2 linked regions of the Macaca mulatta genome follow. The protein of the gene in region 1 purifies or fractionates together with the protein of each later gene. This does not show direct contact. Links are inferred from orthologs where the notes say so. Each region holds a gene or a part of one and is shown on either strand. Other genes may lie near its edges.

Region 1 (5,380 bases):
TGGCCCTGCAGCGCCGCGGGGCTGGCGGCGTGGTGCGCCAGGTCCGGAGACTGGCCTGCGCTGCCTGGCTGGTGGCCCGGGTGTGCGCCAAGGCCAGCGCCACCGCTTCCCACGGAGATGGCCGCTGCCGCCGCCTGCGCGGCCTGCGCCTGCTGCTGCGCCTGCTGCTGCGCGTGGCCTTGTAGGCTGGCGGCGCCCGGCGCGGGGGCACCCGCCTGGCACGGTTTGCCGTCTTTCACCAGGACTGGCACCGCCACACGTCGCGGCGACTGCTGCTGAGCCTGTTGCTGCTGCGGGCACCCGGCGCCCCCGCCGCCCCCGCCGCCGCCGCTGTCCTGCTGCAATTGCTGCTGCGCCGCCTTGTCCTTAGCCTGGCGCTTCATTTTGTAGCGGTGGTTCTGGAACCAGATCTTGACCTGCGTGGGGGTCAGGTGGATCATGCTGGCCAGGTGCTCGCGCTCCGGCGCCGACAGGTACTTCTGTTGCTTGAAGCGTCGCTCCAGCTCGTACACCTGCGCCTGCGAGAAGAGCACTCGGCGCTTCCTGCGCGGCGCGCTTGGCAGCGGGGCCATGTTCTTGCTCACGTCCCCCAGCGAGCCCAGGCCGCCCATGCCGCTCATGTTCATGCCGCTCGCCGGGCCCATGAAGCGGGAGACTGTAAGCGACAAACGCACAGCGTCGGCCGGGGCCAGGCCGAGCCAGGCCACCCCTGTTTTCCGCGCCATTGGCCCGCCCGGCCCGCCCCAACCCGACGGCGCCCTCCTGACCCAGGCAGCCTAGCGCTGGGCCCCAAGAGGCCCATCCGCGGGGAACTGCCAGCGCCTGCCCCAGGCCGTGCCGTCGAGGGCTGCACTAGAGCGCTCACAGCCTCAACCCTGGTTGCCCTCCCTCAGTCTCAGTTCCCTCTTTCGAACCAAAAGACGCATTGGGGGAAAGGCCGCTTCTGCTCCTTTCGTGCCCAGCCCAGGTCAGAGCAATGGGATTAGCTGGCCACAGGCGGCGAACTGGGCTCAGGCAGGGAGCTGGGGTCCGACGGTAGACCCCAATTTGGAGAGGTTAGGAAAGGGGGTGTTGACTTCCAAAAGCTGGAGCCCCCAGACGCTTTGCCTCTTGGCTTCTCTCCTGTCGGCCTCAGTGAGGGCACCTGCTCGGCCCCTTAGAGTCCCCTCTGGAACTGCGAGTCCTCCCACCTGCCCAGACTCCGCTGGAGAGAGGGCCGGGACGGGCGCTCGAGTGCCTCCCAACAGGGCAGCCTCCCTCCTGGCCGGGCCTAGCCTCTCCGCGCTCTGCTCGCCCCTGCTCCTTGAGCTCGGGGTCGCTTCCCTCGGCTCCCCGAGGTCTTCTGCGCGGAACAGAACTGCCAGTCCACCGCGCCTAGGAAACGCCGAGTACCCGCATCTGACCGCAGGACCCCAGCGCTACCAAGTGCCTGCTCTTGGATCCCCAGCCAAGCAGCGTGAAGCATCCCCAGCTCCCGCACCCAAGTCCCTGGCGCCGCTGCCGGGCCGCCCTCCCTGATGCCCAGCGCGCAGCCTGCCGGCGCCGCGCCTTCTGGACGGCTCTCGCCTCATCTCCTGAGCTCAGCCCGCGGCCCCGCAGTGGGGCGGCCTCACTTACTGGCGGGGAAGCGCGGGTCTGGGTTGGCGCCGTACCATCCGGGGCCAGAGGCGCTGTTCCTCATGGTGTCCTGGTACGGCGGCAGCTCGCTCATGTTGCCCAGGTTGCCGTTGCAGTAGCCCCCCACGGCGGAGTGCGAGAGCTGGGGCACCCCCGCCGCCGTCATGTGGTAGGCGGCGGTGACGGCGCCGTGGTGCCCCACGGCGTGCTGCTGCATGGCCGCGGCCGGCGGTGCCGCCTGGCCCTGCCTGTACGCCGCCAGCGGAGCCCCCAGGCCGCCGCCCTCCATGCCCACTTTCTTGTAGCTTTCCTCCAGGGGACTCAAGATGTCAGACACTGAGAACGGAGTCGTGTGCTTTGGACTCATCGACATGATTCGGCGGCGGCTGGAGGAGGAAGGAAGAGGAGGAAAAAAAAGGGAGAGGGGGAAGGCGAAGCCTCGCTGCTTTTTTTTTCTCCCTTTGCCAAATATTCTGGTGTTACCTTAACGCCGATCTTGTTGGAGGTACACGTAACGGAGTGGACCGAGTCCTCCTTAATTGGCTTGAGTGGAGGCTCGGGGGCTGCCTCGCGTTTGTTTTAGCCCGGCGCCAGGTTTTAGGCAGCCACCAGAGGCGGGGCGTAAGCGCTAAAGCAACAAGACAATAGAAGCCTACATCTTGCCCGAGATAATTAGCTTACATGCTGATGACAAGGTAAACACCTTTAAGTTTCACTTGTCAGGATTTTTAGGTCTCAAAAGAGAGAGAGAGAGGCAGAGACGAGACCCAAAGCATTCCCCCCTCCCTTGGACACCCCCACCCCCATTTTTTGTGGGGTACCAGCGGAGCGCGGGGAGGAGGTGGAGGGGTGGGGAAGGAGGAGGGAACCGAGAGCGGGGAGGGCAGGAGGTGGGGTGGGGGAGTAACCGAGGAGGAGAGATGGTTGGGAGGAAGGAAGGTGAATGCTGCTTTGCAACCAACTTGCTGAGTTACAAAGTGGAACCACTTTCCAATTCGGTCGGGGTTCCCCGGACATGAACAGGTCTTTAGGAGAAGAGGGCCGAGGGACGGGGTGGGGGTTTCACCTGAGCCTGCCGGGGCTGCTCCTCCCTCCCGCCGCGGCCTCCCAGCCCCGCGCCTTCCCACAGCCTCCGGACCACATCGGGCTTCGCTGCGCTGAGCCCCAGTCGCCAACAAATGAGCGAGCGAGTCTGGGGACGAACCCTGGGGCCGCACTGTTGGTCTACGTGTCTGTCAGTCTGTCTGCCTCTCTTCTGCCGCCGTCAGAGGGACACCTCTGCTCCCCGCCCCCTTTCCCCCTACCCGAGAGAATCCGAGCGGGCGGAGGGGGCGCTGAGTAGGGGATCGACTGCCTCCCGGAGGCTGTCCCGGATCCCCGAGCCACCACCCGCCCCCGCAGCTCAGTGGTTTTTCAGTGGGCCACCCCCACCAACACGCCTCCCCCCAGGTCTTTCCCCACCCCCACCCCCGGCCGAGCAAACACAGCACTGGCCCCCCGAGCTGGGATGATGGGAAGGGGTCTCACGGGAGGGTCCGTCACTGAAGTTGCCCCACCTCGAACAAACCTGGTGTCCCTGACCCTCGCCCATCTCCCAGACACGCGGGGTTCTGGGGCTGAAGCTGACTTTCCGAGGACATCACAGCCCCAGCACCCGAGCCCAGAGCCACGCTGTTTTCCCCTCCGATGCTTCAGGGAGGGCGCGGGCAGGGAGCGGAGTGAGTGCCCGCCAGTCTGTTGCCGGGCGGAACTGAGCCTGAACCCCGGCGGCGGGAGCGCTGGCCAGGAGGGGGCGAATGCCGAGGTGCGGGAAGCTCAGCGGGCGGGAGGCTGGGCTGAGGCTCGCCTCCGCCCGCAGCTCAGCCATGCAAAAGTGCACTTGCTTCCCGGGAATAACCAAATATCTTTGTTTAAAGTGGTGGCGTAAATGGCCAGTCGCTTTGTGGCCACGCTGGATATTAGTAGATGAGGATCATTCTGCTTCAATTGGGCGCCTCTCATCCGACGAGCAAGAAACTGCTTAGGAGGAAGTGGGTTTCCTGTCTGCGCGTTCCCAGGCTTCAAGTGTGGGCCCCGCGCCTTGAGGGTCCTTGGGCGCCTGGCGAGGGGGAGCTGTGGGCTGCGATCCCCAGCGGAGTCGGGGGTGTCCCCCGCGTTGTTCGGACCAGGCCGGGGCCTGCAGCCGAGTCGACTACCGAGTGGAGCCCTGAACGGCGCGGATTTTGAGACCGACTCCGGTTTTTTTCCGTGGATTTTAAACGTTTTTATTATTGTTTTTGTTTTGCTTTCTTTTTGGTTGTTTTAGCCTCCTCTGCGCGCCGGGGGCTGGGAGGGCAGAGCGCTCCTCGGCCGGGCCTGGCGGGTACCTGCAAGACAACCGCGCTGGTCAAGGAGCTTCTCGAATTTAGTTTTTGTTTTCACATTTTCTTTCCCCTCCTTGTAGAGAGGGAGCTCCTGATGATGATGAACAGGCAGTTTTGAGCTACTTAATTCATCCAGGCTCCCTTTTTAAAATTATTAATAGCAATTATAGTAGAGAAAGTTTTATTTGTTTTTAAAGATTTCAGCCCTGTCCTTGAAGAGTGCTCTTACTCCCTCAATACAAAGCCAACGTCTATACTAACATTGGCTTTTCTCACAGCCTACCTTCTTTACCAGGCTAAAGAAAGCTCAGGGCACCCTCCGCCCTCCCACCTGCGCCCGCGTTTTTGTGCGGTCCCCACGGCAGTGCTGGGGAGGCCACTCTACGTTTGCGCAGGGAGATGCGCTCGCCGCTTGTGTTGCGAAAGACCAGCGCGAAGCCCCGCTCCTTGCCCTTCCTTCCCAGGGGCTTCTCTGGGGGGCGCTCTCAGGACCGGACGAACTGAGCATTGATTACTGTGGTGGCTAAGCAAGGAGGGGAGGCGACGCCGGGCTTAAGCGAACCACAGAGGAGAACTGGCAACGCTGAATACAGACCTTGTCTGCAGGCACGACCTGGCCGGGCCTGCGTCCCGAATGGGGTCTGATTTCGAAGGCGGGGTGGGTTTCCCTGTCACCCAGCTTCTTTCTCTGACTCGCCATTATTTCATAGTTGTTGGTAAGTTTAAGAAACACCAAGTGTAGAATGTTGTACATCTCTCCCAGTCTCAACACCATTTAGAAATGGAGATCAATCTTCACAATGTTTTTGTGAGATTCAAGTAAGATAGAGCACATCAAAGTGCTTTGAAAGCTTTAAATGTTTTTCAGCTCAGTGCCAGCACTGAAGATGCGGTAGTTATTATCATGACGATCCCCATCCCCTCTTTAGGTCCCCAGACCTGAGTAAAAGGAAGAGTTGGGTGAATCTTCCACAGCCCCTGGGTCTTCGTCCCTCGGCAGCTTTTCAACCTCTCAGCAGGCCACAGGCGCACGTGGCTGGCAGCTCCCTGGCCTCCGGCTCTGAGAGTCCCGGGGCAACCGGGCCTGCAGTTCTCGAGGAAACCCCCCTCCCCGTTCTGGACAAGGAACCCCCTCCCCAAGAACCGCGCAGCAGGTGGCGAGTCTGGGAGCTGAACTGGAGCCAGGTGGCGAATCTGGGAGCTGAACTGGAGCGGAGCTCGAAGTGGCTGGGGCGGGCAAAGATTCCCGCTTCACTCTGGGACCAACTGGAACGGCGCTTCAACCTCTGCCTGCAGGGGTGCTTCTCGCGCGCACCAGCAAGCTCTCGTCTCCACCTCGCCTGGGCCTTTGCAGCGCCCTGCCGCCCAGGCTTCAGCACCTCTCCTACCCTAACCTTCTC
Region 2 (5,336 bases), about 1.1 Mb from region 1:
GGGGAAGAGGTCCATGATCCACTGGTAAATCTCGCTCAGCGTGAGCATCTTGCTGGGCGCCTGCTGGATGGCCATGGTGATGAGCGAGATGTACGAGTAGGGCGGCTTGGCGTGCGGGTAACTGCGCTTGAACGTCTTGGCGTCGCCGCCACCGCCCGCGCGGCTGCGGCCCAGGTTGGACGGCGCGTACGCCATGGGGCTCATGCACTGGTTCATGGCGGCCGCGTAGGGGCCCAGGCCATTCATGGAGGCCGCCTGCTGCGCGCCCATGGCGCCCATACCGCCCGGGCTCAGCGCCGTACCCATGGCCGTCACGCCGGCCGCAGTCATGCTGTTCATGGCGCCCGCCGAGCCCCCGGGCATGCCGGCTACGGCGCCGGGACTCAGGCCGGCCCCTAGGCCCGGGTTGGCATAGGACATGTTGAAGGACGCCGGGGTCATGTTGCCGCTCGTGGTCATGGTGTTCATGGTCATGTAGGTGTTCATGGAGTTCATGGAGCCCAGGCCTGAGTTCATGTTGCTGACCGGGACGGAGGAATAGGCCTGGAGCAGAGACAGCGAAGAAGCCCCGGAGGGCGGGGTTAGTGGTGGGCACCGGAGGGCGGCCGGCCGGGAGTTAATCCGGGGGCAAGTGCAGAGCACTTCTGCAGAACACGGGACACCCCCACCCAGGGCAAACGGCTAAGCGCCCTCCCCAGACCGAGCAAAGATGTCTTGCACGGTCGGGGGAAAATCCTAGCGCGACAGGCATGAAAGATAAGCGCTCACAGAAAATATGTCCCCAGGAAGATGTGTAATCGCCTTACACGCCAGGCTCAGGGGCTGGCTTCCAGGGCCCCCTCATCGCCTCCTCCATCCACGCTAGGCGGTCTCCAAGTCTCCACCCCAGCCAGCCTCGGCAAAGCGCTCTTTGGGGGGAAATGTCTTTAAAACTCCGAAAATAGAATTAATCTCTGACCCTCTGCTTATTCACTTCACCCTAAGGGTGCAATGGGTTCCGCGTCACAGGCCCACGGAGCGGGCCACAGGGCACCAGCTCTGTGCCCTCCTCGCCTGAGTCTGCAGGCCTGGCTGACCGCACAGCGGTTTCGGTTGTTATAGCTGACTGTTAATGAAACTCCCTGATAGAGCAAATCACCTATGGACATGGGACCCCCTGAATCATTTATTTCCCAACAAGTGGCTTTATTGTCCTAGGAGTTTTTGCTTATGGTGACTTTTTGTTTTTTATTGTATTTAGAAGTACTGTTTTCTACCTGCTTGTAGCAACTGTAATGTTAAAAAGGGAAGCAAACTCAGAAGTTAAATAAGTTTTGGAAAAATCAAACTAAAAGTACATCCATAACAGAACGGGCTGGGAGGGGGTGCCATAATAATCTCAATGTGCTATATGCATTTTATTTTAACGTGACTTTGCATGTACACCTCTGCAAGCTATTTAGAAACTCGCATTAATTTTGTCACCACTTCACCGTCCCCTATTTAAAAATACTGGTGACACAGTTTGTCAAAATAAATCTTTTTTTTCCCACATACTGATGTTGCTGCTGATGATTTCAATGCCCGGCTTTGAAATTCCGTGAGTAGTCTTGAATAATTTAAAATTCAAAAATAAAATTCTACCTATTTTCTCTTATGCTATTGTATTTCCTAATTCTCAGCTTTAATATGTTAGAAAGTACTTTCGCTAGGGGTCTCAGTTGAATGGTAGGGTCGAGATGACTGCGTCAGAATTAAATCTCTGGAAGACCTCTGAGCTGCTTTAAAAATCATCAGCAAGCGAAAATCCTTATCAATAGCAATGTGGGAATGCATTCGGTACAGTATTTTAAACATACAGAACCTAGGCATATTAAAAAGCACTCCACTGATAATTTAATAAGGAATAATGATGTCCTTAAGTTTATTTTCATCAGCAAGTATGACTCAGTTTGAAAACATGAGAACAAATAGATTTAAATAGGAACACCCAGTAAACTATGGTATGCAAATAAACTCAGAGGTAAACTTGTGAATATACAAATCTAAATAAGTTAGTTACCATCAAAATATTACGTGATTCTATATTTTTCTGTCCACGTCTTAAAATTCTTTTTTTACTTTGGGGCTTTATTTTCTTTCCCTCTTCCCAAGATTATCCAAGGCAGTTCCAATACGCGTTTTCAATAATGGTAATTAAACTTTTGGGGGGTAATAGCCAGCTGTTTCCAGAAAAATACTTTTAATAGGTGCTAGTCCTCCCTGTACCTGGTTTTCCCTGTAATCCTTTTGTGCACATTGTAAAAATAACCCCCATGAACGTGCCACCAAGGGGACAATGAAGAGAAACAGGTTCTCGGCCCGGAGTTCTGAAGAAGATTCTGGTCGCACTAGCGCCACCCAGCGGTTTTAGAGAAGGCGCACACTTCTCCCCACATAGGGCTTTTGAAGAACAAGTTTTACAAAATTTAGAAATCGTTTCATTATTGAGACACCCAACTTGGCGGCAGAGCGCTTTAATCAGAAGACGTCTGCGGATTAAACGGCGGGACGAAGAGGTCGCCTTGCGGGTATGCTCCGGCTTTCTCAGAGTTGCTTCCAACTCGCGCCAGCGTTCGCCCGCCCGCGGCACCCCGGGCCCGGCTCCTGCTCCCGCTCGCTGCTGGGAAGAGGCAAGTGCTTCCCAGGGCCGCTGTTTTCAAAGCCCGGAGTTTCCTAAAACTCCCTCTCCGGCTGCTAGAGTCGGGACAGAGCAGGGCAGCAGGTCCCGCTTCCAGGCCCGGCCAAGGCCCGGCCGGGACCACACCGGCGGGCGGGCAGCGGTGGCACCGAGGAGGCGCCCCCGGCCCGACTGTCCGCCCTGCCCGGCGCCCACCGTTCCCCGGCCTCCCCCGGCACGGGCTCCAGCGACGCCCCGCCGGCCGCCCGCCTCGTCTCGCCTCTCACCTCCTGCGTGTCCGCGTAGTAGCTGTTCCAGTCGCTGGTCTCATGCCCTTCCATCTTCACAGTCCCTAACATCCTGGAGCCACCCTGCCCAATACAACCATCCAGCCCTGTGCGAAGCGACGGGCGGCCGCGCGGCGCGGGGCGGGGGAGGGGAACCGAGTAGCTGCAGTCACCCGAGCGCCCGCGCGGGCCCAACGCCACCCCGGCGAAGAGGAAGCCCAGAGCTGCGGGGCGCGGCTTGCGAGGCGGCGGCGGCGCTGCAGGCGGGGGCAGCGCCGGGGGCAGGCGGCTGCCGCGGAGCGCGGCGCCGGGGAGCGCCTCCGCGGGAAGTGAGCGGGCGGCCTCTGCGAGGCGAGTGCAGTTGAGCTGATGTGGATCTTACGTCGCTCGAGTGCCCACCTCCTCGTCCTCTCCCCATTTGTCCGCCGCACAAAGACGCTCGCACCTACAAAGCCCGAGGTGCACCTGCAAGGCGGCCGCCCGCCAGTCCGGCCGCCGCGCCTCCCGCCCCGCCGCGCCACCGCTGCGCGCCCCCCCTCCCCCGCAACCCCTCCCCCAAGCGCGGCCCTCACTTTGTTTGCAAAGCAGTGTAATTGGTTTAGGCCCGGAGGCTAGGGAAAGAGGGAAGTGGGGTGGGAGGGGGTGTAACACCCTTTGGAAAAAGAAAAAATAGGCGGGGCCAGGCGGGCGGGCTAGGGGTCTAGATGGGAACCTCATAGCCAGAGAAGGCTGGGGGCGGTGGCGTCGGAGACTGGGCTTAGAGACTTTGTGGGCTAAGTGACCCCGGGGTCCCTCCCCAGAGGTACTTGCCACCTTCTGAGCGCGGGCTGCGGCCCAGTCTCGCGCCCCTCCTGCTCTCCTTGCCCCCTCCCTCCTGATTCCTGACCCAAAGTTCAACCCCAGGAGACTGGAGAATACAGACTTTTTTTTCTTTCTTTCTTTCCTCCTGAGCTTACGACTAGAAAAGGGAAAAAGCCCCACTTTTGCTTCGTCACTAGAAACCGGGTCATCTGAGTCAGCCGAGCCAAGTGACGTTAGGCCGACCCGGGCTCCCGGCTAGCAGAGCGGAGGCGCTGCCACGAAACTCGTACCTGCGGCTAAGAGCAGGTGAGTCACAGCACCGGTTTATATCTTTATGACATAACTTTTTTTTTTCCGCCTCGTTCCGCTCCTCTCTCCTGTCATCTGTAGCGACCATAAAGAGGAAGCAACTGAGAGCAGATGTCTGTGTGATAGGGCAGGCAGACCCAAGTCGGGCCGTCCTCCCTCTGCCGGGCTCCTCCTCCCGCCCCCCTTCAGCAGCTTCAGGGACTGAGCTGGAGACGACCGTCTGGTTTCTGATAGGAAAAGGTCAGGGGGAGGGGACATCTCCCATAACACGCGCGTTAGCTGGGAGAGCAAGGGCCTGGGCGCGGGAACGCGTGTGCACTGCGAAAGAGGTGCCAGGCAGAAGCCCGAGACTGCCCGCAGCGGCGCTTGGTCCTGTGACCCGGAGGGTCCGGGCTGAGATCTCAGGGGCTCACTTGGTTCCTAATCGGTCCTGGACGTCGGTGGGAGAGTCTCCCCAACGCAAAGTCTCTTTACTCTCCTGAGGCCCTGGGTGGTGGATTGCCCACTTGTCCTAGGAGAGAGAATACTGAAGTGACTGGGTGATAGGCAATGAGTTGGTGATAGATTGGGAGATGGTGAGTGTGTTTCTGACTGTGTGACCGTTTGTGTATTTCTGAGCACGTGTGACTGAGTGTGTTTGTTTCTGAGTGTCCTGTGACCATGGGTTTGTTGTACTGCCTGTAGAACCACTAGGTTTCCTTAAGTAACAATAAAATAAAATCTAAAGTAATTAAGAATCCGCAAAATCTTCTTGTTTTGCAAAGTTTTTAAAATGTTATTAATCTCATTTTAAGAAATATGTTTTAACTTGTTTTCCAAACAGATACCTTTTTCCCTGTGCTTTGTTCTTTTCAATCTCTTCTACTTGAAATCTGGCAAGCGAATCACTTTAAATCCCTGAACCAAACAAATCTCTTAAGTCAGCAGGGGAGCAGAGAGGGTGAAGATGTGCAGTTAAGGAAATAAAAAAGATAAAAGCATTGGATTACTTTTTTTTTTTTTTTTTTACAAAAAGGGTGGGGGATAGAAACGTCACATAAGGAAAGGAATGAATGAAATTAAATCCACCTGGACCTCAGGAGGGCAGGAACCCTCCCTAATGCAGCCTTCTCCTGTGACTGCAAGTTGTCCCATCAGTTTGTGTAAATGTATCTGCGAATTGTGTGTCAGAAACTAATTCTTTTTTGCAAAGTTCCCATCAGTAGCTGACTTTAGTTCCATTTGTAAAGTACACGGATGCTCAGCTTCCTCGGCCTGATCCGGGGGACTTTCAGTGCTAATGAGCTTCCTTGTTCCTTCTG

What was found.
Region 2: the proteins of NKX2-1 (region 1) and FOXA1 purify together in Homo sapiens (affinity purification with western blotting; 3 studies listed by BioGRID and IntAct, with this or other methods). This does not show direct contact. The link is inferred for Macaca mulatta from reciprocal best matches to the Homo sapiens genes NKX2-1 and FOXA1.

What each region holds. Positions count from the first base shown.
Region 1 is NC_133412.1:109,634,187-109,639,566, forward strand, and holds the start of NKX2-1 (homeobox protein Nkx-2.1), read right to left. Parts: upstream 3,658-5,380; 5' UTR 3,185-3,657; intron 2,918-3,184; 5' UTR 2,761-2,917; coding exon 2,684-2,760; intron 2,313-2,683; coding exon of another isoform or gene 2,299-2,312; exon of another isoform or gene 2,101-2,298; intron 2,004-2,100; coding exon 1,618-2,003; intron 656-1,617; coding exon 1-655. Other genes in the region: uncharacterized protein LOC144330237, read left to right, coding at 2,299-2,312, 4,910-5,380. UniProt on the Homo sapiens protein: Transcription factor that binds and activates the promoter of thyroid specific genes such as thyroglobulin, thyroperoxidase, and thyrotropin receptor. Crucial in the maintenance of the thyroid differentiation phenotype.
Region 2 is NC_133412.1:110,733,129-110,738,464, forward strand, and holds the start of FOXA1 (hepatocyte nuclear factor 3-alpha), read right to left. Parts: upstream 3,449-5,336; 5' UTR 2,998-3,448; coding exon 2,926-2,997; intron 544-2,925; coding exon 1-543. UniProt on the Homo sapiens protein: Transcription factor that is involved in embryonic development, establishment of tissue-specific gene expression and regulation of gene expression in differentiated tissues.